Callithrix jacchus: one gene and its partners. The protein of the gene in region 1 interacts with the protein of each later gene in a biochemical or structural test. Links are inferred from orthologs where the notes say so. Each region holds a gene or a part of one and is shown in the gene's direction. Other genes may lie near its edges. The genes, in order: MAP1LC3C, STK3, SQSTM1, kelch repeat and BTB domain-containing protein 7, NEDD4 and KBTBD6.

Region 1 (4,286 bases):
ACCGATGGCTGGCAGTCCCTGGATAGCTTCTGGATGGGGGCTGGTCACCAGAAAGACAAAGGTGAGATTAGAGGGTTGGAATTTTTAGCCCCACCTCCAGCCTCTGGGGAGGGTAGAGGGGTTGGAGGTTAAATTGATTATCAGTGGCCAACGGTTTAATCAATCTTGCGGATGTACTAAAACCTCTATAAAAACCCAAAAGGCCTAGGGTTCTGATTTTTGTTATGAGAATATAGGAGAAATGGCATTTGTTCCCTCTATGTATGACTAGAGGCCCATTTTCTTAACTCTAAAAGGGAGATCTTGGGGGCAGTTGTTCTTCCTTCCTTCTTTTATCCCAGAGAAAACTAAATGACAAAATATACCTACCAGAGTGTTGTACTTGGACTTCCTTGTGACAACTCTGGGTTTGTTCGGGTTTTTGCTTGTTCGTTTGTTTGAGATGGAGTTCCATTCTTGTTGCCCAGGCTGAAGTGCAATGGTTGGACCTAAGCTCACTGCAACCTCCACCTCCTGGGTTCAAGTGATTCTCCTGCCTCAGCCTCCCAACTAGCTGGGATTATAGGCTCCTGCCACCACACCTGGATAATTTTTGTATTTTTAGTAGAGACGGGGTTTCAGCATGTTGGCCAGGCTGGTCTCAAACTCCTGACCTCAGGTGATCTACACACCTTGGCCTCCCAAGTGCTGGGATTACAGGCATGAGGCACTGCGCCTGGCCGACAACTATGGGTTTTAATCCAAACTGCATCTGTGTAGCTGTGTGCCCTCGGCCAAATCGTTTCACCTTTTTTTTTTTTTTTTTTTTTTTTTGAGGCAAGTCTTACGCTGTTGCCCAAGCTAGAATGCAGTGGTGCAATCTTGACTAATCACAACCTCCACCTCCCAGGTTCAGGCGATTCTCCTGCCTCAGCCTCCCAAGTAGCTGGGATGACAGGTGCTCACCACCATGCCCAGCTAATTTTTGTATTTTTAGTAGAGACAGAGTTTCACTATGTTGGCCAGACTGGTCTCGAACTCCTGACCTCCTGATCTGCCTGCCTCAGCCTCCCAAAGTGCTGGGATTACAGGTGTGAGCCACTGCGCCCGGCCTCACTTCACCTTTCTTAGTATAGGTTTCCTTCTGTGAAAAGGGCACGGACTGTGGTGAGAATTACACAGCACACTTCAGGCTGAGGTGGATCCATCTTGGACTCCTCTCAAGGTGGTTCTCTACTGAAGTACAGAAACGTCGCCAGCATAAGGCAGTTTTACGTCTCCACGGTCCGCTGCCTAGCCAATGATTTTATTACAAACCCTAATTTCTTTTGCAAAGAAACATCTTGAACTGGTCATGAATAAAGTGGCTTTTCTCTGACCAGCAAGTAGGTGGCGATTCCATTTCCACCAGAACTGACCTCGTGCTGCTCGGGGAGGGGGAGGCGGGTGAGCAGAGGCCTGATGTCACTCAGCTCTACATAAGGGCCCCCTGCAGGCTCCTGCAGGCAGTTTGGAAGCAGCTGGAGGAATGAATTAGGTTCCTGGTTGCAGTACTTTTGTTCTTCTTTTCTTTTCTTTCTTAAAACAGACAAAGCTGTTGAGTGAAATGCCGCCTCCACAGAAAATCCCAAGCGTCAGACCTTTCAAGCAGAGGAAAAGCTTGGGTAAATTTCTTGGGGTACCTTTCTGGGTTACTCGAAAGAGAGGAGAGGATCTGGCTTTCTCTTGATGTTTGCTTATTCTCTTGTGCTTGAAATATTCACAGCAATCAGACAAGAGGAAGTTGCTGGAATCTGGGCAAAGTTCCCAAACAAGATCCCGGTAAGACATCATTGTACTTCCCTTGTGGGGGGCGGGGTTCTGAACCTGTCCTTTGAAAAAACCAAGACCAGCCAACAACTTCCCTCTCTCTGTTCCAAGATCCTAAGACTCAGAGAACTCTGAGTCACATTCTTAAGGACTGACGCTCTTGACAGGTGATAGTGGAGCGCTACCCCAGGGAGAAGTTCCTGCCCCGGCTGGACAAAACCAAGTTCCTGGTCCCGCAGGAGCTGACCATGACCCAGTCCCTCAGCATCATCCGGTAGGTGGCGCAGAGCGTGCCCGGGAGGAAGGTGTCGGGGGTGTGTGGGGGCTCTTCTGTTTCCTTCGTTAGGTGGTTTTATTTTGGGGATGGGGGTATGTCAGGGAAAGAGAGGAAAGAGATTTTTTTGAAGTCATCTTTCAGATTCACTAGTGCCCTGAAAAGATGCTCTTAGAATAATTCTATTTTAAATCCGGGTGCACCGACTCATGCCTGTAATCCCAGCACTTTGGGAGGCTGAGGTTACGAATTCGAAAACAGCCCAGCCAACATGGTGAAACCCTGACTCTACTAGAAATACAAAAATTAGCTGGGTGTGGGGGTGCACGCCTGTAATGCCAGCTGCTCAAGAGGCTGAGGCAGGAGAATCGCTTGAACCTGGGAGGCAGAGGTTGCAGTGAGCTGAGATTGCACCGTTGCACTCCAGCCTGGGCAACAAGAGTAAAACTCCATCTCAAAAAAAAAAAGAAAGAAAGAAAAAATTACTCTATTTTATTTTACACAAAGATGGCTGTATAATTGTCAGTGACCAAACCTTTGGGGTTATTTGGGGAGGAGTTATCTGGGTGTAAAATGAATTGGATTCTAGTTACTCCCATCTCCCACTGCTGCATGGACATAGCCCACCTGAAGGCTCAAAGCTCTAAGATAGGAATGGGTGGGCTGTGCCCGCTTCACCAATTAGAGCACCTGGAGGAAGTGTGCTTAAAGTGAGGCCAAGCCTTCACCTAGGCACCTACGTTTTCACACTGCCATCTGCTCCGGGATAACTGGGCACTCAGATTGCCCTTGGCATTTGAAGCGTGTTCAACTAAATATGGCTGCCTTCCTATCGCCTTGATGTGAACGCAGAAATAACACAGGAAGGAAAGGGCACACTTCAAGGCAGGAGATCCCTTCCAAGTGTCATCCTAGGCTGTTCAACAGTGACATGCCAGGCCGGGCGCAGTGTCTCGAGCCTGTAATCCCAGCACTTTGGGAGGCCAAGGCAGGTGAATCACCTGACATCAGGAGTTCAAGACCAGTCTGGCCAACATGGTGAAACTCCGTATCTTCTAAAAATGCAAAAACTAGCTGAATGTGGTGGCACACGGCTGTAATCCCACCTACTTGGGAGGATAAGACAGGAGAATCGCTTCAACCTGGGTGGTGGAGGTTACAGTGAGCTGAGATCACACCATGGCACTCCAGCATGGGCAACAGAGTGAGTGAAATTCCATCTCAAAAAAAAAGTGAGATGCCAGAGAGACTATGTATCACTTTTGTACCCCTGGGGAAACAGCTTTAATTTCATAGCAAACAGAAGTTATTTACTTAACTTTTTTTTTTTTTTTTTTTTTTGAGATGGCGTCTGGCTCTGCCACCCAGGCTGGAGTGCAGTGGTGTGATCTCCGCTCACTGCAACTTCTGCCTCCTGGGTTCAGACAATTCTCTGCCTCAGCCTCCCAAGTAGCTTACAGGTGCCCACCACCACGCCCGGCTAACTTTTGTATTTTTAGTAGAGACGGGGTTTCACCGTCTTGGCGAAGCTGGACTTGAACTCCTGACCTTGTGATTCCCCCGCCTCAGCCTCCCAAAGTGCTGGGATGACAGGCCTGAGCCACGGCGCCTGTCCAGCGCGCTTAGCAGGTTTGTGTCGTCATCTTTCCCTGCTGTGTTTCCTCGTCGTGTTTTGGCATATTTCATCCATGGAATGACCTCACCCTTTTGACCCAACTACGACTCCTTGTAGTTTCTAAATCTCAGGGAAGAAGGAGGGAGCAATTCCCTCTTCTTGAGCGTCATGATGCTGCAGATCCCTGGGCTGCCTCACAGGTCACCCCCTCACCACCCTCCTGCCCACCCCAGGAGCCGCATGGTCCTGAGAGACACAGAAGCCTTTTACTTGCTGGTGAACAACAAGAACCTGGTCAGCATGAGTGCAACCATGGCAGAGATCTACAGGGACTACAAGGATGAGGACGGCTTCGTGTACAAGACCTACGCCTCCCAGGAGACGTTTGGCTGCCTGGAGTCATCAGCCCCCCTGGGATGGGAGCAGCCTTGAGGACAGACCCTGCAATCCTCTCTAGCCCATGTGGGGAAGAACAGGTGCTCTGACAGACGTATCAGCCGCTGGCAGAAGGGATTGGATTTCTCCTGTATGTATATGGAGGAGTCTGAGAAGCAGGGATGCTGGGAGTGATCAGGTCCAGCTATTGGCAGCAGAGTGGTGGCTCTTCCT
Region 2 (3,500 bases), on another chromosome or scaffold:
TAAAAGCTGGAAATATTCTCCTCAATACAGAAGGACATGCAAAATTGGCAGATTTTGGAGTGGCTGGACAGCTAACAGTAAGTTAAATTTAATAATTTTCTAAACACTTGGCTAATTTGTTCAGCTTTGATTGTAACTAAACTTTGATAACTTTTTGAGGGGGAATGGAAAGAAATGTGTAACTTTTTTGTTTTTGTGGAGAAGGAACCCTAATCGAGCCAAATTCGAGTATTATTTAATTTATAATTTAGGATAATTGAATATGAAAATTTGTAATCAAAATGCTTTACTGTTCTAAAAGGGAAGCTAGTCAGCTCATTTGTGTAGCTTTCAGCATTATAGTATCTTTAAGGATTGTATTTAAGTGATGGTAGTAGAGATAAGTTACCTGTGGATTCTTGGTTGTTTTCAGAATTCAGAATTCCTAAGTATGTCATAACTGGTTGAAATTTTAGCAAAATATAGTCAATTTCTGATACAATATGTGGCATTGGAGGTTTTGACTTTTTCTTAAAGAATGTTTGGCATACAGATTTCCTTTGTGTTTTTGTAGTAGCATTTATGGCTACGTAACATTATTGCAGGATACGATGGCCAAACGCAATACTGTAATAGGAACTCCATTTTGGATGGCTCCTGAGGTGATTCAAGAAATAGGCTATAACTGTGTTGCTGACATCTGGTCCCTCGGCATTACTTCTATAGAAATGGCTGAAGGAAAACCTCCTTATGCTGATATACATCCAATGAGGGTAAGAAAATTATGATTTGCTAAAAATGTTAGCCTTATATAAGTGTTGCAGTTTTGTAATGTCAGTGTAAGTAAATATAAACTAAATACGTTTATTTAAATTTGTTCTTTTTAAAAATGCTAAAATTATCTCTTAAAGATTAGTAACTGATAATTTCTCTTCCTTCTGCATTCTAAATTGTGGGAAAAGAAGTGAAGGCTCTGTATATGTCTACAGTCACTGTTCTACCCCCAAAAATATACCTGTAAAGTTTTTGCTTGCTTTTCAGTAGAAGAAAGGGTTGGTAAATCCTCTTTGCTCTTCAGTTTATTGCTTCTCGATGTGATAGTGGAAGAGTTTGAAGTAATCTGTTCTTACCCACTCCGTAATGTATACCTGTCTCTCTCTCTCTCTATCTCTCTCTCTCTCTCTCTCTCTCTCTCTCTCTCTCTCTCTCTCTCTCTCAGTGTGTGTGTGTGTGTGTGTGTGTGTGTGTGTGTGTGTGTGTGGTTTTTTTTTTCTACCCTTTCTCTTTGGTCTGAGGATGATATTAAGCAATCCTAATTTCTAATATTGCTATGCACCTGTAAAGGAATTAGGCTTTTTTTTTTTTAATGAATCCTTATTCAGAAAATGGAATTCCTTTGTTGAACATCATTATATGTTTCTGTGATCGCTGCAGGAAAATTTTTGAGTTTGAAATATATATCTTACATATTCAAGTCCAATTGCCTATGTTTCAAGATTTGTGATGATATACTTTTTAGGTTTATTACTCTGTGAATCATATAGATAAGTTCATCATCATAGATAAGTACATTTATCTTTGTATACTTATTGCCCTCTAGTGGCTGCAGTTACCTCAATAAGGATATAGAAATGAAGGGAAGAGTGTATGTATGTGTAGAAAAGAGAAGATAGTGTCATGGTGGCTGGAGGAATTTGAAGTAAGTAGGAAGAAGAAGAATGCATTATTTTAGGCTATCTGAAGATGAATAAATTGGAATCACATCTGATATTATAATGCTATTGTGGGTTAAATTTTGATAATATAGGTAATAGTGTATTATATGGAAAACATTTAAAAATCTGTCTGTTGTATTGAAACATTTTTATTTTTTTATTTTATTTATTTTTATTTTTTTGCCAATCAGTTTGAGCTTATGAGGTTGCTCAGGTTAGCCTTGAACTGATGACCTCGCCTTCGCGAGCATTTTTAAAGAGAGTTTTTGTTTTCTCATTCTTTTGAGACAGGGTCTTACTCTGTCACCCTGCCTGTAGTGCAGTAGTGCGATCATGGCTCACTCTAGCCTCAACTTCCTGGGCTCAGGTGATCTTCCCACCTCAGCCTGCAGAGTAGCTGGGGATATAGGTATGCACTATCATGCCCAACTAATTTTCTGTTAGTAGAGACAAGTTGTCGCTACATTGCCCAGGCTATTTTCTGTTAGTAGAGACAAGTTGTCGCTACATTGCCCAGGCTAGTCTCCAACTCCTGGGCTCAAGCGATCCTCCCACTGTGGCTTCCCAAAGTGCTGGGATTACAGGAGTGTGCCCAGCATAGAATTCTTTGAGTAATATAATCGTATACAATATGTACCATCTTCCTTGTGTATGTAAATTCCTTTTGGTAAATGAAAGATAAAAATAGCATCAATTGTTTTAAAATAAAATGAAAAATAACAAGGTCAGCAAGAACAAAAACAGGAACACAGAGTCTTACTTCTTCTCTGATCATTAGTTATCTGTGGTTATTTTAGTTAGGATGTTTGTAGAGTGATCCTCAAAGTAGACAAGTTTGTGTTTCAGTCCGTGAGGGTTACTAAATTACCCAAGGCAACTTAGGTAGGTTCCAGAGCTGGGATTTAACCTAGGACTTCCATTATTACCATTCTGCTTCTTCCCTGTGTAAATCTTATTTTTCTATCCAAATAGTTCAATATGTTAAATTTGACCCTGTGCTACTTTCTCTAGCAGAGAGGAGAGAATTGTAATATGTGACCCCTTCCTTTAAGGATCTGATAATATTACCTGAGAGTTTGAATGAATACATAATACATTGTTAAAAATATACCTGATGATAGTGTTTCTCTTAGGAAAAAAAATATATATATATTGCAAATTTCCTCGGATGCCTTGCTTACTGTTTTTTTTTTTTTCAAACCAGTCTAAATCCTACCATTTTTTAAAGTCTCAACTCAGATTTTATTTCTGGATAGACCCATTCTTGACAGCTGTCGCCCAAGTAAATTTCTCTTTTTCCTCATAATTTGTATATAGGCAATTTTTGACAGTCCAGTTCTTTGGATAGTTAATCAAGTGTTGCCTTGTACATTTCCAAACATAATATAGTTTATCTCCTATTTGAATGATGGCATTATTTAACTTTTTTTGTGTTTGTGAGCTGCCTCACAAATTAGAGTATTGAACTGCAAGTATTGGGGGTTGTTAAGATCATGTAACAGATACAGTTCTATCATGGGCAACAAATACTGCCTTTTATTTGTCTTGAAATGACGGGTTCACTTGGTTCATTTTTGAGAAAATGTCTGTCAAATACCCATCTGTGTAACCTTAGTTTTCTGTCAGTTATTCTTCAAGTAAAATCGGTGTTCTTGAAAAGAGCCTTGTAGTTTATTTAGCTTGCAGCTCAGTCATGCAACTACTTTTTTTCAGATTATTATTGTTCTTTGGTATGTGGGGAAGTGCATTATGCATATTTTCCATTTTGTCATGTAGAATACTACAAAATATATATTCACGTGTGGA
Region 3 (2,443 bases), on another chromosome or scaffold:
CCACATGAAGAGAGAAACCCAGAATGAAGAACAGAGGTATTAGGAAACGAAGGACCTAATAGGACACAGGGTGAAAGTAAAGGTGGTCACAGCATCACAACAGAGCCTCTGCCCAGAGAGCTGCCAGTCCTGGCTGGAATAGGAGGCTGCACACCAAGGGGCATTCTCTAAGGAAAACACCAGAACCAGTGGGGCCTCTGATCCACTTCACCCCTGTAGAAAACTATGGAGATGCTGTGGGAGAACATGGGGAGAGTTAGCAAATGAAAAGAGAAGGCAGGCTGGGCGCAATGGCTCATGCCTGTAGTCCAAGTACTTTGGGAGGCCAAGATGGGCAGATTACCTGAGGTCAGGAGTTCAACACCAGCCTGGCCAACATGGTGAAACCCCATCTCTGCTAAAAATATAAAACTTAGCTGGGTGTCGTGGCGGGCACCTGTAATCTCAGCTACATAGGACGCTGAGGCAGGAGAATTGCTTGAACCTGGTAGGTGGAGGTTGCATTGAGCCGAGATTGTGCCACTGCATTTCAGCCCAGGCAACAGAGCGAGACTTCATCTCAAAGAAGGCCAGGTGTGGTGGCTCATGCTGTAATCCCAGCACTTTGGGAGGCCAAGGCAGGCGGATCACAAGATCAGGAAATCAAGACCATCCTGGCTAACATGGTGAAACCCCATCCCTACTAAAAATACGAAAAATTAGCCGCATGTGGTGGCACATGCCTGTAGTCCCAGGTACTCAGGAGGCCGAGGCAGGAGAATTGCTTAAATCCAGGAGGCAGAGGCTGCAGTGGTTGAGTTCGTGCCATTGCACTCCAGCCTGGGCAACAGAGTGAGACTGTCTAAAAAAAAAGAGAGAAGGCATCATTAGTGATAAGAAAACAAAAAGCTATACAAGGAAATAGTCTGCTAATTGACCCAGCAAATAACATTAAGACAGAGGTACTAACTGAAACACTGAACGTTGTTTTAACAAAAAATTGAGTCTTAGAAAGGGTAGTGGAAGGGGAGGCAGATACTGGTCTAGAGTAAGAAGTGCATAGATGTGAACTCTATCAGTAGGCAAGAGTAGCATGAGCTGAAAGAGCCCAGGGAGGCTTTGGGGAGTGGAATGGGAGCAGGGAATATGCATCACAGCCTCTGGCAACTGGTGACTCTAAGCTGTGGGTATGGAGACTTTTGACACATGTAATTTTAAAAATATTGTGATTCCTCCCTCTGTCCCTGGTGAGTTATGTGAGCCTGGAGGTGTGCAGGCTCCCTGTGCTGCCAACCTTGGGCCCTACGCCTTGACTGCATGGCCTGTCCACCTCTCTGAGCAGAGCCCTAGCGTTTAGGTGCGTGTACGTGTCATCACACAAAGCCTCTGTGTGCAAGTATCATGAGACACACAGCCTTCCATCACTGGCTGGAGGTGCCTGCCACATGTAGCATTGGCTCCCCCTGTACTTAGGGCCTGGCCCTACCTGCAGTGTAGCCCATGTCCTGCATGGTTAGGAAAAATAAGGTCTCTTTGGACTTCCTAGCTCTGAAGCTGACCTTAGATGTTAGCTGAGGTTCATGTTTTAGTGGATTGGAGAAAGAGAAAGGTCCAGTATCATAGGCACACAGAGTTTCCAGAAGCCACAAGAGATTTGGAGCTGGGATACTGGGAAGAGCCTCTGACTCAAGGGTTTGTATCTTGGCTGGTCCCATACTGGCTATGTGACTCTAGGGTCAAGCTCAATAGGAGAACCTAGCACCTGTATCCACATGCTGAGTGCCACCATCCAGACCTTTACCTGTTGTGGGGACTGAATGTGAGATCTTTGTGAGTCTGCAGTCCCCACATGCCAAGCTCCTGCCTGCAGGTGCATCCTTCGGGGAACTTCACAGTTTTTTCTTTCCTCCTTGGCCTCTAGGCATTGAAGTTGATATTGATGTGGAGCATGGAGGGAAAAGAAGCCGCCTGACCCCTGTTTCTCCAGAGTGTTTCAGCACAGAGAAGAGCAGCTTGCAGTCAAGCAGCTGCTGCTCTGAGCCCAGCAAGCCCCGTGGGAACGTTGAGGGCGCCACGCAGTCTCTGGCGGAGCAGATGAGAAAGATTGCCTTGGAGTCCGAGGGGCACCCTGAGGCAAGCTTGTGCCCCTCCCGCCACCTGGGACTGTGGCCAGCCTAGTGATTTGTGGCCTGCACCTCTGCCTCATCCTCAGCACCTATGCAGCCCCACTTATAAAATCCAAGGGAGCTGCTGCTGTTCCTGTAGTGATGTCTGTGGCATTAAAGTCCTTTGGGAACCTGCTAGAATTTTGTAGTTACTTGGTCTTTGAGAGTGACTCACTATTCCCTGTAGCCCCCTGCAGCTTTAAACACATGCCAGGAGTTGGTGTCATGTCAGGCTTGGCCTGTAGGGAATGTCTCCTGTGTGCTCATGGTGCGTTTTGTTCCAGGAACAGATGGAATCT
Region 4 (4,199 bases), on another chromosome or scaffold:
GCATCGGCCTATGTTCCCGGCCTCCAGGCCCTATTTTCCTGCCTCAAATCTCTAATACTTGGTTTTGATGATTTAGCTGTTGATCAACGCATATATTAAATAGTTTTGTAAAGCATAGACTATACTGTGTATTAATTCAAGGAACGTCAGGGCATGTATGAATGCTGAAGTCTGAGAATCATGTGCTTTTGTACAGAACAAAGTCTGTTGAAATGTTTTGAGTTAAAATTCTCCCTAAAACTTCTCTACGAAAGCAATTGCAGAGTCTGTTAACTGATTTGTAGAATGGCAGTGAAAGAGGCTGTATTTGGCCGGGCGCGGTGGCTCACGCCTGTAATCCCAGCACTTTGGGAGGCCGAGGTGGGTGGATCACGAGGTCAAGATATTGAGACCATCCTGGTCAACATGGTGAAACCCCGTCTCTACTAAAGATACAAAAACTTAGGCCGGCATGGTGGTGCATGCCTGTAATCCCAGCTACTCAGGAGGCTGAGGCAGGAGAATTGCCTGAACCCAGGAGGCGGAGGTTGCGGTGAGCCGAGATCGTGCCATTGCACTCCAGCCTGGGTAACAAGAGCTAAACTCCATCTCAAAAAAAAAAAGAAAGAGGCTGTATTATTCAATTTGAACACACTTACATTTGCAGCTTAATGAAAATACTCTTGCTCTGCAGAGATGAAATGTTAGTGAGAGCAGCAAATCATCTATTTGTATATGCTCAATTTGCATATTTGAGGCCATCTATTAATACTGCTCTTTAGGACCTCAACCTAACCATCTAAGACATTCTTGTTAAATGAGACCAATATACATCATTTAATATTGAAAATATTAATACTCTTCAGAACCTCTCAAAAAATAAAAATTAAAAATTGGAAGCTTTGTAACGTTTTGCAGTTTTAAAAAAAATACTTGGTTTCAAATTAGCGGGTGCCTCATTTATCATAAATTATAAAAGAGAATCTAACAATTATTGATTACATTCTAGGCACGGGGTAGTGATTTATTAATTATTCTTCTAATAAAAAAATACACATATTTAAGCATCCTATGTAACATATCATTCAACCCCACAAAACCCTGTAAAATATTGGCAGGGCGCAGTGGCTCACGCCTGTAATCCCAGCACTTTGAGAGGCCGAAGGAGGAGGATCATTTGAGCCCCCAGTAGTTCGAGACCAGCCTGGCAACAATAGTGAGACCTCGTTCTTCACCATCAAATCCCGGAGTATTAATTTCTACTTCTGTTAGAGCAGGCAACGAAAGGAAAGCTCGCGATATTTCACAAACTACTACTCCCAACATGCAAAGCGGTTTCCTTCCTCGGTCTTGGCCCGGCTGTCCGAGAGCCCCAGCAGGCCTCGGGGCGCGAAAGGCAACCCGGGAACCGTAGTTCTCCAGGGCGCCTAGCGGGATCGCCAGCGCGGCAGTGGGGCTTCCGCGGCTCCCAGCCAGCGGGTCCTGTGAACGCGAGCAGAGGCGGAGAAAGGGCGCGGAAGTGAGAGAGGGTGAGTCAGCCACTGTCTACGCGATAAAGGGAGGCCTCACCGCGGGGTAGGCAGAATTCAGGAGTCAGGTCCGTGCCGCAGTCTGTTCCAGGAAGCGGCTTGTGTTAGCGTCAGCGAGGGAAGGGTGAGGAGGAGCCAGAGCCGGGTCCTGCAGCCGTTCTCGCCTTCAGCGCCCGTCGCCATCTCCATCATGCAGTCCCGGGAGGACGCCCCGCGCTCTCGCCGCCTCGCCAGTCCCCGCGGTGGGAGGCGGCCCAAGAGGATTTCCAAGCCCTCGGTTTCGGCCTTTTTCACGGGCCCAGAGGAATTAAAGGACACGGCCCATTCTGCAGCCCTCCTGGCCCAGCTCAAGTCCTTCTACGACGCGCGGCTGCTGTGCGATGTGACCATCGAGGTGGTAACGCCCGGCAGCGGGCCCGGCACGGGTCGCCTCTTTTCCTGCAACCGCAACGTGCTGGCAGCTGCGTGTCCCTACTTCAAGAGCATGTTCACAGGTGGCATGTACGAGAGCCAGCAGGCCAGCGTGACCATGCACGACGTGGACGCCGAGTCCTTCGAGGTGCTGGTGGACTATTGCTACACGGGTCGTGTGTCGCTCAGTGAGGCCAACGTGCAGCGCCTGTACGCGGCCTCGGACATGCTGCAGCTGGAGTACGTGCGGGAAGCCTGTGCCTCCTTCTTAGCCCGACGCCTGGACCTGACCAACTGCACCGCCATCCTCAAGTTTGCAGACGCCTTTGACCATCACAAGCTGAGGTCTCAGGCCCAGTCCTATATAGCTCACAACTTCAAGCAGCTCAGCCGAATGGGTTCGATTCGGGAGGAGACTCTAGCAGATCTGACCCTGGCCCAGCTGCTGGCTGTTCTGCGCCTGGATAGTCTGGACGTGGAGAGTGAGCGGACAGTGTGCCACGTAGCAGTGCAGTGGCTGGAGGCTGCTCCTAAAGAGCGGGGTCCCAGTGCTGCAGAAGTCTTCAAGTGCGTGCGCTGGACGCACTTCACTGAGGAAGATCAGGACTACTTAGAAGGGCTGCTGAGCAAGTCCTTAGTGAGGAAGTACTGCCTGGGCGTTGTTGAAGGGGCCCTGCAGATGCGCTATGGCGACCTGCTGTACAAGTCTCTGGTGCCAGTGCCAAACAGCAGCAGCAGCAGCGGCAGCAGCGGCAGCAGCAGCAGCAGCAGTGGCAGCAGCAGCAGCAACAGCAGCAACAACAACTCTGTTGTACCTGCAGCAGAAAATCCACCTCAGAGGCTGGGTATGTGTGCCAAGGAGATGGTGATCTTCTTTGGACACCCCAGAGATCCGTTTCTCTGCTATGACCCTTACTCGGGGGACATTTACACAATGCCGTCACCTTTAACCAGCTTTGCTCACACTAAGACTATCACCTCCTCAGCTGTCTGTGTCTCCCCAGATCATGACATCTACCTAGCTGCCCAGCCCAGGAAAGACCTCTGGGTGTATAAACCAGCTCAGAATAGTTGGCAGCAACTTGCAGATCGCTTGCTGTGTCGCGAGGGCATGGATGTGGCATACCTCAATGGCTACATCTACATTTTGGGGGGACGAGACCCTATTACTGGAGTTAAATTGAAGGAAGTGGAATGCTACAGTGTTCAGAGAAACCAGTGGGCATTGGTGGCTCCTGTCCCTCATTCCTTCTATTCTTTTGAACTCATAGTGGTTCAGAACTATCTTTATGCTGTCAACAGTAAGCGCATGCTCTGCTATGATCCTAGCCACAATATGTGGCTAAACTGTGCTTCTCTTAAACGCAGTGACTTTCAGGAAGCGTGTGTCTTCAATGATGAAATCTATTGTATCTGTGACATCCCAGTCATGAAGGTCTACAACCCAGCTAGGGGAGAATGGAGGCGGATTAGTAATATTCCTTTGGATTCAGAAACTCACAACTACCAGATTGTCAATCATGAGCAAAAGTTGCTGCTCATCACTTCTACAACCCCACAATGGAAAAAGAACCGAGTGACAGTGTATGAGTATGATACTAGGGAAGATCAGTGGATTAATATAGGTACCATGTTAGGCCTTTTGCAGTTTGACTCTGGCTTTATTTGCCTTTGTGCTCGAGTTTATCCTTCCTGCCTCGAACCTGGTCAGAGTTTCATTACTGAGGAAGATGATGCACGGAGTGAGTCTAGTACTGAATGGGACTTAGATGGATTCAGTGAACTGGACTCTGAGTCAGGAAGTTCAAGTTCTTTTTCAGATGATGAAGTCTGGGTGCAGGTAGCACCTCAGCGAAATGCACAGGATCAGCAGGGCTCTTTGTAAATAGTATTTTGAGACACTAAGATGTTTCTACTGCTATGGAATGTATGTTAAAAAGATATCCTCTCTTTTTCTTGGGAAAAAAAGGTTGATTACGACCACAGATTTGGTTTAGAAAGGGTAACATTTTGAAATACTACAGGGTTTAAACAGTCCCTGAAACCAACCCGTTTAATAATTTACTGTGCTGAAAGTCCAAAATTAAAATATGCAAACAAGAACTATATAATTGGTTGGGATGCTTGGTAGGCTTTTTCCTGGTTCAGGTATTCATCCCACAGTGGACTGTTTTGATTAGTGGGCTTATTTTTTTTTTAATTCAGTCTTCTGTTAATTTTTAAGTTTTCTTTAGTGCCACAAAGAATTTATCTTTTAAATCTGTATAATAGAAAACTGGA
Region 5 (4,135 bases), on another chromosome or scaffold:
ATTTTACCTTTTACTTTCCTATGAATGAGCCAGTATATATTTATTACTGGAGTTCCAGCTATAAAATTTATGTAAGGGGTTTAAATATACCCTAGAGTATTATTTAAAAATAAATTTATTTCTTTCAAATAGAATACCAACCTTGGTCTATGACATTTGGGAGAGAAATTAAAATATTAAACTTTTATTGCCTAGTAAACTGAAAATAAAGTAAAGGTTAAATAAATACAAAGCAAAAAATATATATATACAAAATCACAACCTCTAAAAGGACAAACAGTCCACTGTTCTCTACTGTGGGAGCTTTATCAGCACTGGTGAGTAATTCCACCTCTAGGGCAGGGCAAGTTCTCAAAAACGTAAACAAGTATGTACTTTGTTTATATAAAGAAATGTGCAGCATGGTTTGTATTTCTTTGTAGATATCAAACAGCTAAATGCATTGTTTCAGAGCACCAGCAGGGGCCAGCAAAGAGCTCTTAGAGTTTTTCAGAACAGAATTGGCATTGAGATATGTTTATTTGATGTGTTAAATCCTTTTTTTGACTTCTTTACTTAACTCCACACTCTCTTAAGTGAATGAATTGCAGAGACAGTGGAATAAAATATCCTGTGTGTTCAAACTATCTTGGGGTATAGTTTTTTTTTCTAATCTGCATATATTTTTAATGAAGTATTTGCTTAGGCTATTTCTTGGCAGAGTTTTAATAGTCAAAATATAAATGGCATTATTTAAAGACTGTTCTACTTGGCTGGAAAAGGCCTTAAAATTACAGAAGAAAATGCTTAGTGACAGCTTCTCTTAACCTTTTCTTTCTTGAACCTGTGCTTCATTTTTGCAGTAGTATTACTAGGCTAATTTTGTAGTTCTGTTCTTAATCTTTCACTTTTTATATAACTAGCACTTTGGAAGCTAAAATGTCTATCTGTTTGATGTAGTGCTAAAGTTTTAGTTCATCCCAAAGTTTTAGTATTTCCAAATTTACACAACTGTTTGAATTCACTCATTAAAAATAAAATTAACAGCCCCTATAACTTGACTAGATTCCTAGTATGGTTACTGTTTGGAAATTCAATCTTTGATTTGATGCTTAATTACATGGGGTTCCGTTCCTACCAACTTCCTGTAATTCTATACCTATGGGTAAAAATATTAGTGGTCAAAGTCAGCTGGAGAAAGTATAGGCACTGCGATTCACATAGTTATATGTTCATTTAGTAGAGCTAGGGTGAAAAAATACTGCTTCAACTTGAAATGTTAGAAGATTGTTGTTCTTGTGTTACTCATTCATGCAAATTGGAGAAGGTATAATTGAAACAAGGTTGGCTGTGTTTGAGTCAGTGTGCTGCAGCTGAGCTCAGCTTAAAGGTCGCTGGAAATCAAGTGCTTTGTAAGTGAAGGCATTTTGACTACAAGCAATTCAAGACATTTTGGAAACGTCAGTCTCAGGAATGGGCCGTCTTTTTCTTTCTATGATATCTGGTATCTAATGTTTTACTTAGGATAAAGACCACTACTTAATAGCTCTTTTAGGCACCATAAATGATTTTTTTCTTTTGATGCAGTGCAGCTGCTTCTAGCCTGTCTACAGACAGAGATATTTGTTATGACTTTCAGCCTTTAACATGTTTGGAAATGAGAACAAATGGCACAGAGCTTACGATTGCACTTTGCAGCCAGAAGAAGCAATACTTACCCTTTGTCAGAAGCCTCCGGAGATGACTTGGATAGCCGTGTTCACATGTGCTTCAAAAGACCAACACGGATTTCAGCGTCTAACATTGTTCAAATGAAGCTGACTCCCAGACAGACTGCACTAGCTCCGTTAATAAAGGGAAACATTCAGTCTCAAGAAAGATCATCTGTTCCTTCATCTGAAAATGTTATTAAAAAGAGCAGCTGTCTGCAGATTTCACTACAGCCCACAAGGTACAGTGGTTGTCTTCAGTCTAGCAATGTCTTAGCTGATAGTGATGATGCTTCATTTACTTGTATCTTAAAGGATGGTGTTTACAGCAGTGTTGTGGCTGATAATGAATTGACTGCTGTGAATGATGGTAACCTTTTAAGCAGTCCTGCCATTTGTAGTGGTAGCCTTAGTAACTTTTCAGCTAGTGACAATGGGTCTTGCAGCAGCAATGGTAGTGATTTTGGGTCATGTACAAGTATCACAAGTGGAGGTTCATACACTAACAGTGTCATCAGTGACAGTAGTAGTTATACTTTTCCACCAAGTGATGATACGTTTTTGGGTGGAAATTTATCTTCTGACAGCACCTCCAATAGAAGTGTGCCAAACAGGAATACTACTCCATGTGAAATTTTTTCAAGAAATACAAGTACAGATCCTTTTGTCCAGGATGACTTGGAACATGGATTAGAGATTATGAAATTGCCAGTGAGCGGGAACACAAAAATTCCTCTAAAACGTTGCTCCTCCTTAGTCATTTTTCCTAGGAGTCCTTCAAATACCCCACCAACTTCTCCAACAAGTCCATGTACTCTTCTGAGCAAAGGATCCTATCAAACTTCACACCAGTTTATTATTTCTCCTAATGAAATTGCACATAATGAGGATGGCACTGGTGCTAAAGGATTTCTTTCAACAGCTGTCAATGGACTTCGGTTATCTAAAACAGTTTATACCCCCGGAGAAGTAAGAGACATAAGGCCACTTCACAGGAAGGGCTTGTTACAAAAGAAAATTGTTATTTCAAATAGTACTCCCAAACAGACTGCCTGTGAAAAGTCATCTGAAGGATACTCTTGTGTTTCAGTGCATTTCACCCAACAAAAAGCAACTACATTAGATGGTGGAACAACAAATGGCGATTGTAAACCAGAAATGTCAGAAATTAAGCTTAATTCTGATTCCGAGTATATTAAGCTCATGCATAAGACATCTGCATGTTTGCCATCCTCCCAAAACATTGATTATCAAATAAATATCAGTGGAGAATTGGAAAGACCAGATTCACAGATGAACAAAAATCATGGTATTTTACAAAGAAGTATTTCATTGGGAGGAGCTTATCCAAATATTTCCTGTCTATCCAGCCTTAAGCACAATTGTTCTAAAGGGGGACCATCTCAGTTACTCATAAAGTTTGCATCTGGAAATGAAGGTAAAGTTGATAATTTATCAAGAGACAGCAACAGAGATTGCACAAATGAACTGTCTAATTCTTGTAAGGTAAGTTTCCTTTGGTCTTGGTAAATGTTAATTTATATGAGAATAACTTAATGAAATATTTAGATAAAATTTATTACAATTAAGCAATTTAATATATTTTCCCAGTCCTTAGCTAGCATATACTTTGTAGTCATGAATTTTATATTTGTAAATCTGAAGAACCCTATGTGTAGTTTTTTACTCTGTTATTTTACCAATGTACAAAATGTGTATTTTTAAAAATCTTCCTAAGTGATTTAAGCTGTAAAACTTTTCTGTAACATAAAAACAAACTTTGAATAACAATCTATTTTACATTTTATCTTAATATATTTTTTCTTTAAATGGTATAGTATTCTGTTATATAGCTCAGTATTTTATTCCTATCTTCAAAATGATCATTTTGTTTTCTCCCCTTCTTAATCATTATGAAATAGAGTAAAATTTTAAATGCTTATTTAAAATATTAAACAAAAACCCGTATCAAAGTGCAAAGATCTTGTTTTAAATGGTTATAGAGGAACTATATCTCTAAAATACATGTATTTCTAAGATCATTCATAAAAACTATTATGCTGCATGTTTAAAGCAGAGGAAAAATAAATGGCATTTGCGTTTGTATATACCCTTAACCACAGGAATTTTGTTTCCACCCTATTTTTTCTTTAGCCACGAGTTAATACTGCCTTCTAAAATGTAACTCACTCTTTCAACAATATTGAATTCTAAGTTTTAGTCTTTTTGAATTTTGTTTAAATTGCTAGGCAGTTCCCATAATTTTCTATTTACCTTTTTATTTGTTTTTTTGACAATTCGTCTTTATTTTATTAGTAATTTAACCCTTATGAATCTTTGCCAAGAGTTCTTTATGTAATTTGGCCTTTCCAAAATATTTAAAATTGTTTGAACTGAAATAGACTTTTAAAATTTCTGTATATGGAATGTTTTACCAGATTCCAGGA
Region 6 (4,033 bases), on another chromosome or scaffold:
GGTGGGCAGTGATGTGAGAGGAAGACAGTGGCAGGGTTTCACAGGAAGTGGGTCGGAAGTGGAAACGTGTTTGGTGTTCTCAGTGACTTTTAACATCTGAACTGCATGGGGTGTGTAAAGGTTGAGGGAATGACTCAAAATGAAGCCCGCTCTGATGGAACAGCAACTTCATACAAGCAAGGGGAGAAATGCTTGCACCACTGGGTCTCAAAGGATGCTAAGTTACTCACCAGGCCTCTGGCTTCCATTGTATTTTAGAGTGAGGACTCTCTAAAATATGTCTTTTCTTTTGGGTAAAAAGGGGAAAGGGGAAACTGAATATTGGAGAGTGGGAGAAGACGCTGGAGAGGACTTCAGGTTTTGAAATGCAGATATGGAAGGAAAGTCTCAAAGTCAGGTGATTGGAGGTGATTTCCTTTTAGTCATGGCAAGTAAGGACAGGCAATGGTGGAAAAGCCAGGGATCTAATTCAGCAGCAACAGCCAACCAATCCTACAAACTGAGTTATCTTTTGGTATCAGGGAGAGGCACAGCATGTACAAAAAAAAAAAAAATCACTTCTAACGGATGCATACACTAATACAAAATGTTAATAATAAGGGAATTGCGAAGGGGGAAGAGATATAGGAAGCTCCCGGTCCCTTCTGCTCAATTTTTCTGTAAACGTAAGATTCAAACCTACTAATTAAAACACACACACACACCCCTAAAAGGGATTCTCTGCTGCAAGGTTTTCTGATTTTGGGGGTTGTTTTTTGTTTTCCTACAGGCTCATAATTTCAAATTAGTGGTGCTTCATTTTTTTTTAAATAAATGCTGGAAGAAAAGTTAAAACTTATAGAACCTTTACAACCTAAGAAGCGAATAATTATTCTACAAACCAACAAATATTAAGAGCGTCCTATAACCAACTCATTTAATCTTCACACAATCCTATGAAATACTCCTGTTCACATTTCACAAAAGAAGAAGAAACAGTTCAGAGACAAGTCAAACAATATATACTAGAACGAGGCGACTACTTTGGATACCAAAACCACATTTCCGAACCACAAAATCCAACCTAGGAAAATTGGCGCTCTCGAGTGTCGTCATTAAAATAAGGAACACAGAGAAGGATCGCGATATTACACGAACTACTACTCCCAACATGCAAAGCGGTCTCTTTCAGTCTCGGCCCGGGGGTCCGAGAGCCCCAGTAGCCCTTGGGGCGCAAAAGGCATCGTGGGAGCTGTAGTTCTCCTGGGCGCCTAGTGTTGTCGCCCACGCGGTGGCAGCGGCGTCTGAGGCTCCCAGCCAGCGGGTCCTGTGAACGCGAGCAGAGGCGGAGAAGGGACGCGGGTGTGAGAGCGGGTGAGTCAGCCACTGTCTAAACGATAAAGGGAGGCGGCTCCTTGGGGTTGGGCTGAATTCAGTAAATGGGCTCGTGCTCCGGCTTCTTCGGACACGCTGCTGCCTTAGCGTCAGCGAGGGAAGGGTGAGGAGGAGCCAGAGCCGGGTCCTGCAGCCGTTCTCGCCTTCAGCGCCCGTCGCCATCTCCATCATGCAGTCCCGGGAGGACGCCCCGCGCTCTCGCCGCCTCGCCAGTCCCCGCGGTGGGAAGCGGCCCAAGAAGATTCACATACCCACAGTTTCGGCCTTTTTCACGGGCCCAGAGGAATTAAAGGACACGGCCCATTCTGCAGCCCTCCTGGCCCAGCTCAAGTCCTTCTACGACGCGCGGCTGCTGTGCGATGTGACCATCGAGGTGGTAACGCCCGGCAGCGGGCCCGGCACGGGTCGCCTGTTCCCCTGCAACCGCAACGTGCTGGCAGCTGCGTGTCCCTACTTCAAGAGCATGTTCACAGGTGGCATGTACGAGAGCCAGCAGGCCAGCGTGACCATGCACGACGTGGACGCCGAGTCCTTCGAGGTGCTGGTGGACTATTGCTACACGGGTCGTGTGTCGCTCAGTGAGGCCAACGTGGAGCGCCTGTACGCGGCCTCGGACATGCTGCAGCTGGAGTACGTGCGGGAAGCCTGTGCCTCCTTCTTAGCCCGACGCCTGGAGCTCACCAACTGCACCGCCATCCTCAAGTTTGCAGACGCCTTTGACCATCGCAAGCTGCGATCTCAGGCCCAGTCCTATATAGCTCACAACTTCAAGCAGCTCAGCCACATGGGTTCGATTCGGGAGGAGACTCTAGCAGATCTGACCCTGGCCCAGCTGCTGGCTGTTCTGCGCCTGGATAGTCTGGACGTGGAGAGTGAGCGGACAGTGTGCCACGTAGCAGTGCAGTGGCTGGAGGCTGCTCCCAAAGAGCGGGGTCCCAGTGCTGCAGAAGTCTTCAAGTGCGTGCGCTGGACGCACTTCACTGAGGAAGATCAGGACTACTTAGAAGGGCTGCTGAGCAAGCCCTTAGTGAAGAAGTACTGCCTGGGCGTTGTTGAAGGGGCCCTGCAGATGCGCTATGGCGACCTGCTGTACAAGTCTCTGGTGCCAGTGCCAAACAGCAGCAGCAGCGGCGGCAGCAGCAGCAGCAGCAGCAGCAACTCTGTTGTACCTGCAGCAGAAAATCCACCTCAGAGGCTGGGTATGTGTGCCAAGGAGATGCTGATCTTCTTTGGACACCCCAGAGATCCCTTTCTTTGCTGTGATCCGTACTCTGGGGACCTTTACAAAGTGCCCTCACCTTTGACCTGTCTTGCTCACACTAGGACTGTCACTACCTTAGCTGTCTGTATCTCTCCAGAGCACGACATCTACCTAGCTGCCCAGCCCAGGACAGACCTCTGGGTGTATAAACCAGGTCAGAATAGTTGGCACCAACTTGCAGATCGCATGCTGTGTCGTGAGGGCATGGATGTGGCATACCTCAATGGCTACATTTACATTTTGGGGGGGCGAGACCCTATTACTGGAGTTAAATTGAAGGAAGTAGAATGCTACAATGTTAAGAGAAACCAGTGGGCGTTGGTGGCTCCACTGCCCCATTCTTTTTTATCCTTTGACCTGTTGGTAATTCGGGACTATCTCTATGCTCTCAACAGTAAGCGCATGTTCTGTTATGATCCTAGCCACAACATGTGGCTGAAGTGCGTTTCTCTGAAGCGCAATGACTTTCAGGAAGCGTGTGTCTTCAATGAGGAGATCTATTGTATCTGTGACATCCCAGTCATGAAGGTCTACAACCCAGTTAGGGCAGAATGGAGGCAAATGAATAATATTCCCTTGGTGTCAGAGACCAATAACTACCGGATTATCAAGCATGGCCAAAAATTGTTGCTCGTCACCTCTCGCACCCCACAGTGGAAAAAGAACCGGGTGACTGTGTATGAATATGATATTAGGGGAGACCAATGGATTAATATAGGTACCACATTAGGCCTCTTGCAGTTTGATTCCAACTTTTTTTGCCTCTCTGCTCGTGTTTATCCTTCCTGCCTTGAACCTGGTCAGAGTTTCCTCACTGAAGAAGAAGAAATACCAAGTGAATCTAGCACTGAATGGGACTTAGGTGGATTCAGTGAGCCAGAGTCTGAGTCAGGAAGTTCAAGTTCTATTTCTGATGATGATTTTTGGGTGCGTGTGGCACCTCAGTGAAATGCACAGGATCAGCAGGGTTTGTTGTAACTGAATTCAAACACTAAGTTGTTTTTGCTGTTTTGGAATATATCTTAAATATCCTTTTTGTTCCCAAAGGGGAGGAAAAGTTGATTAACTGGTTTGGTTTAGAAAAAGTAATGTTTGAAATATGAAGGTAATTTAATATTACAAATTTTAACACTCAAAGCAACCTTTTAATAATTTTTTGTGCTAAGAATCCAGTATTTATTTATTTAGTATGTTTATGTTTCATAAAACTAATTTAGTCTTTTGATAAATTTTACATTTTGTTTATTGCCACAAGCACCGTGGCAGTAACTTTTTAATTTTAATTTTTATAACAGAAAAAGGATTAGGAATTGCTAGGCAGTGTTTTGAAAGCATATCTTTTTCTTCAGAACAATGTAGATTTCCAAAATGGTTAACCTAAGGGGTCTTTATAAAATA

Evidence for each region.
Region 2: the proteins of MAP1LC3C (region 1) and STK3 form a complex in vitro, tested with the Homo sapiens proteins (2 studies listed by BioGRID and IntAct). The link is inferred for Callithrix jacchus from reciprocal best matches to the Homo sapiens genes MAP1LC3C and STK3.
Region 3: the proteins of MAP1LC3C (region 1) and SQSTM1 form a complex in vitro, tested with the Homo sapiens proteins (6 studies listed by BioGRID and IntAct, with this or other methods). The link is inferred for Callithrix jacchus from reciprocal best matches to the Homo sapiens genes MAP1LC3C and SQSTM1.
Region 4: the proteins of MAP1LC3C (region 1) and kelch repeat and BTB domain-containing protein 7 form a complex in vitro, tested with the Homo sapiens proteins (2 studies listed by BioGRID and IntAct, with this or other methods). The link is inferred for Callithrix jacchus from reciprocal best matches to the Homo sapiens genes MAP1LC3C and KBTBD7.
Region 5: the proteins of MAP1LC3C (region 1) and NEDD4 form a complex in vitro, tested with the Homo sapiens proteins (2 studies listed by BioGRID and IntAct). The link is inferred for Callithrix jacchus from reciprocal best matches to the Homo sapiens genes MAP1LC3C and NEDD4.
Region 6: the proteins of MAP1LC3C (region 1) and KBTBD6 form a complex in vitro, tested with the Homo sapiens proteins (2 studies listed by BioGRID and IntAct, with this or other methods). The link is inferred for Callithrix jacchus from reciprocal best matches to the Homo sapiens genes MAP1LC3C and KBTBD6.

Annotation. Positions count from the first base shown.
Region 1 is NC_133520.1:43,983,740-43,988,025, forward strand, and holds the start of MAP1LC3C (microtubule-associated protein 1 light chain 3 gamma), read left to right. Parts: upstream 1-1,486; 5' UTR 1,487-1,585; coding exon 1,586-1,643; intron 1,644-1,744; coding exon 1,745-1,800; intron 1,801-1,955; coding exon 1,956-2,062; intron 2,063-3,910; coding exon 3,911-4,109; 3' UTR 4,110-4,286.
Region 2 is NC_133517.1:98,134,868-98,138,367, forward strand, and holds part of STK3 (serine/threonine-protein kinase 3), read left to right. Parts: coding exon 1-77; intron 78-584; coding exon 585-752; intron 753-3,500. UniProt on the Homo sapiens protein: Stress-activated, pro-apoptotic kinase which, following caspase-cleavage, enters the nucleus and induces chromatin condensation followed by internucleosomal DNA fragmentation.
Region 3 is NC_133503.1:71,810,860-71,813,302, reverse strand, and holds part of SQSTM1 (sequestosome-1), read left to right. Parts: intron 1-718; exon of another isoform or gene 719-841; intron 842-1,780; exon of another isoform or gene 1,781-1,900; coding exon 1,901-2,112; intron 2,113-2,428; coding exon 2,429-2,443. UniProt on the Homo sapiens protein: Molecular adapter required for selective macroautophagy (aggrephagy) by acting as a bridge between polyubiquitinated proteins and autophagosomes.
Region 4 is NC_133506.1:160,346,431-160,350,629, reverse strand, and holds the start of kelch repeat and BTB domain-containing protein 7, read left to right. Parts: upstream 1-1,399; 5' UTR 1,400-1,698; coding exon 1,699-3,804; 3' UTR 3,805-4,199. UniProt on the Homo sapiens protein: As part of the CUL3(KBTBD6/7) E3 ubiquitin ligase complex functions as a substrate adapter for the RAC1 guanine exchange factor (GEF) TIAM1, mediating its 'Lys-48' ubiquitination and proteasomal degradation.
Region 5 is NC_133509.1:43,694,673-43,698,807, reverse strand, and holds the start of NEDD4 (E3 ubiquitin-protein ligase NEDD4), read left to right. Parts: upstream 1-1,335; 5' UTR 1,336-1,646; coding exon 1,647-3,194; intron 3,195-4,135. UniProt on the Homo sapiens protein: E3 ubiquitin-protein ligase which accepts ubiquitin from an E2 ubiquitin-conjugating enzyme in the form of a thioester and then directly transfers the ubiquitin to targeted substrates. Specifically ubiquitinates 'Lys-63' in target proteins.
Region 6 is NC_133506.1:160,304,722-160,308,754, reverse strand, and holds the start of KBTBD6 (kelch repeat and BTB domain-containing protein 6), read left to right. Parts: upstream 1-1,233; 5' UTR 1,234-1,543; coding exon 1,544-3,583; 3' UTR 3,584-4,033. UniProt on the Homo sapiens protein: As part of the CUL3(KBTBD6/7) E3 ubiquitin ligase complex functions as a substrate adapter for the RAC1 guanine exchange factor (GEF) TIAM1, mediating its 'Lys-48' ubiquitination and proteasomal degradation.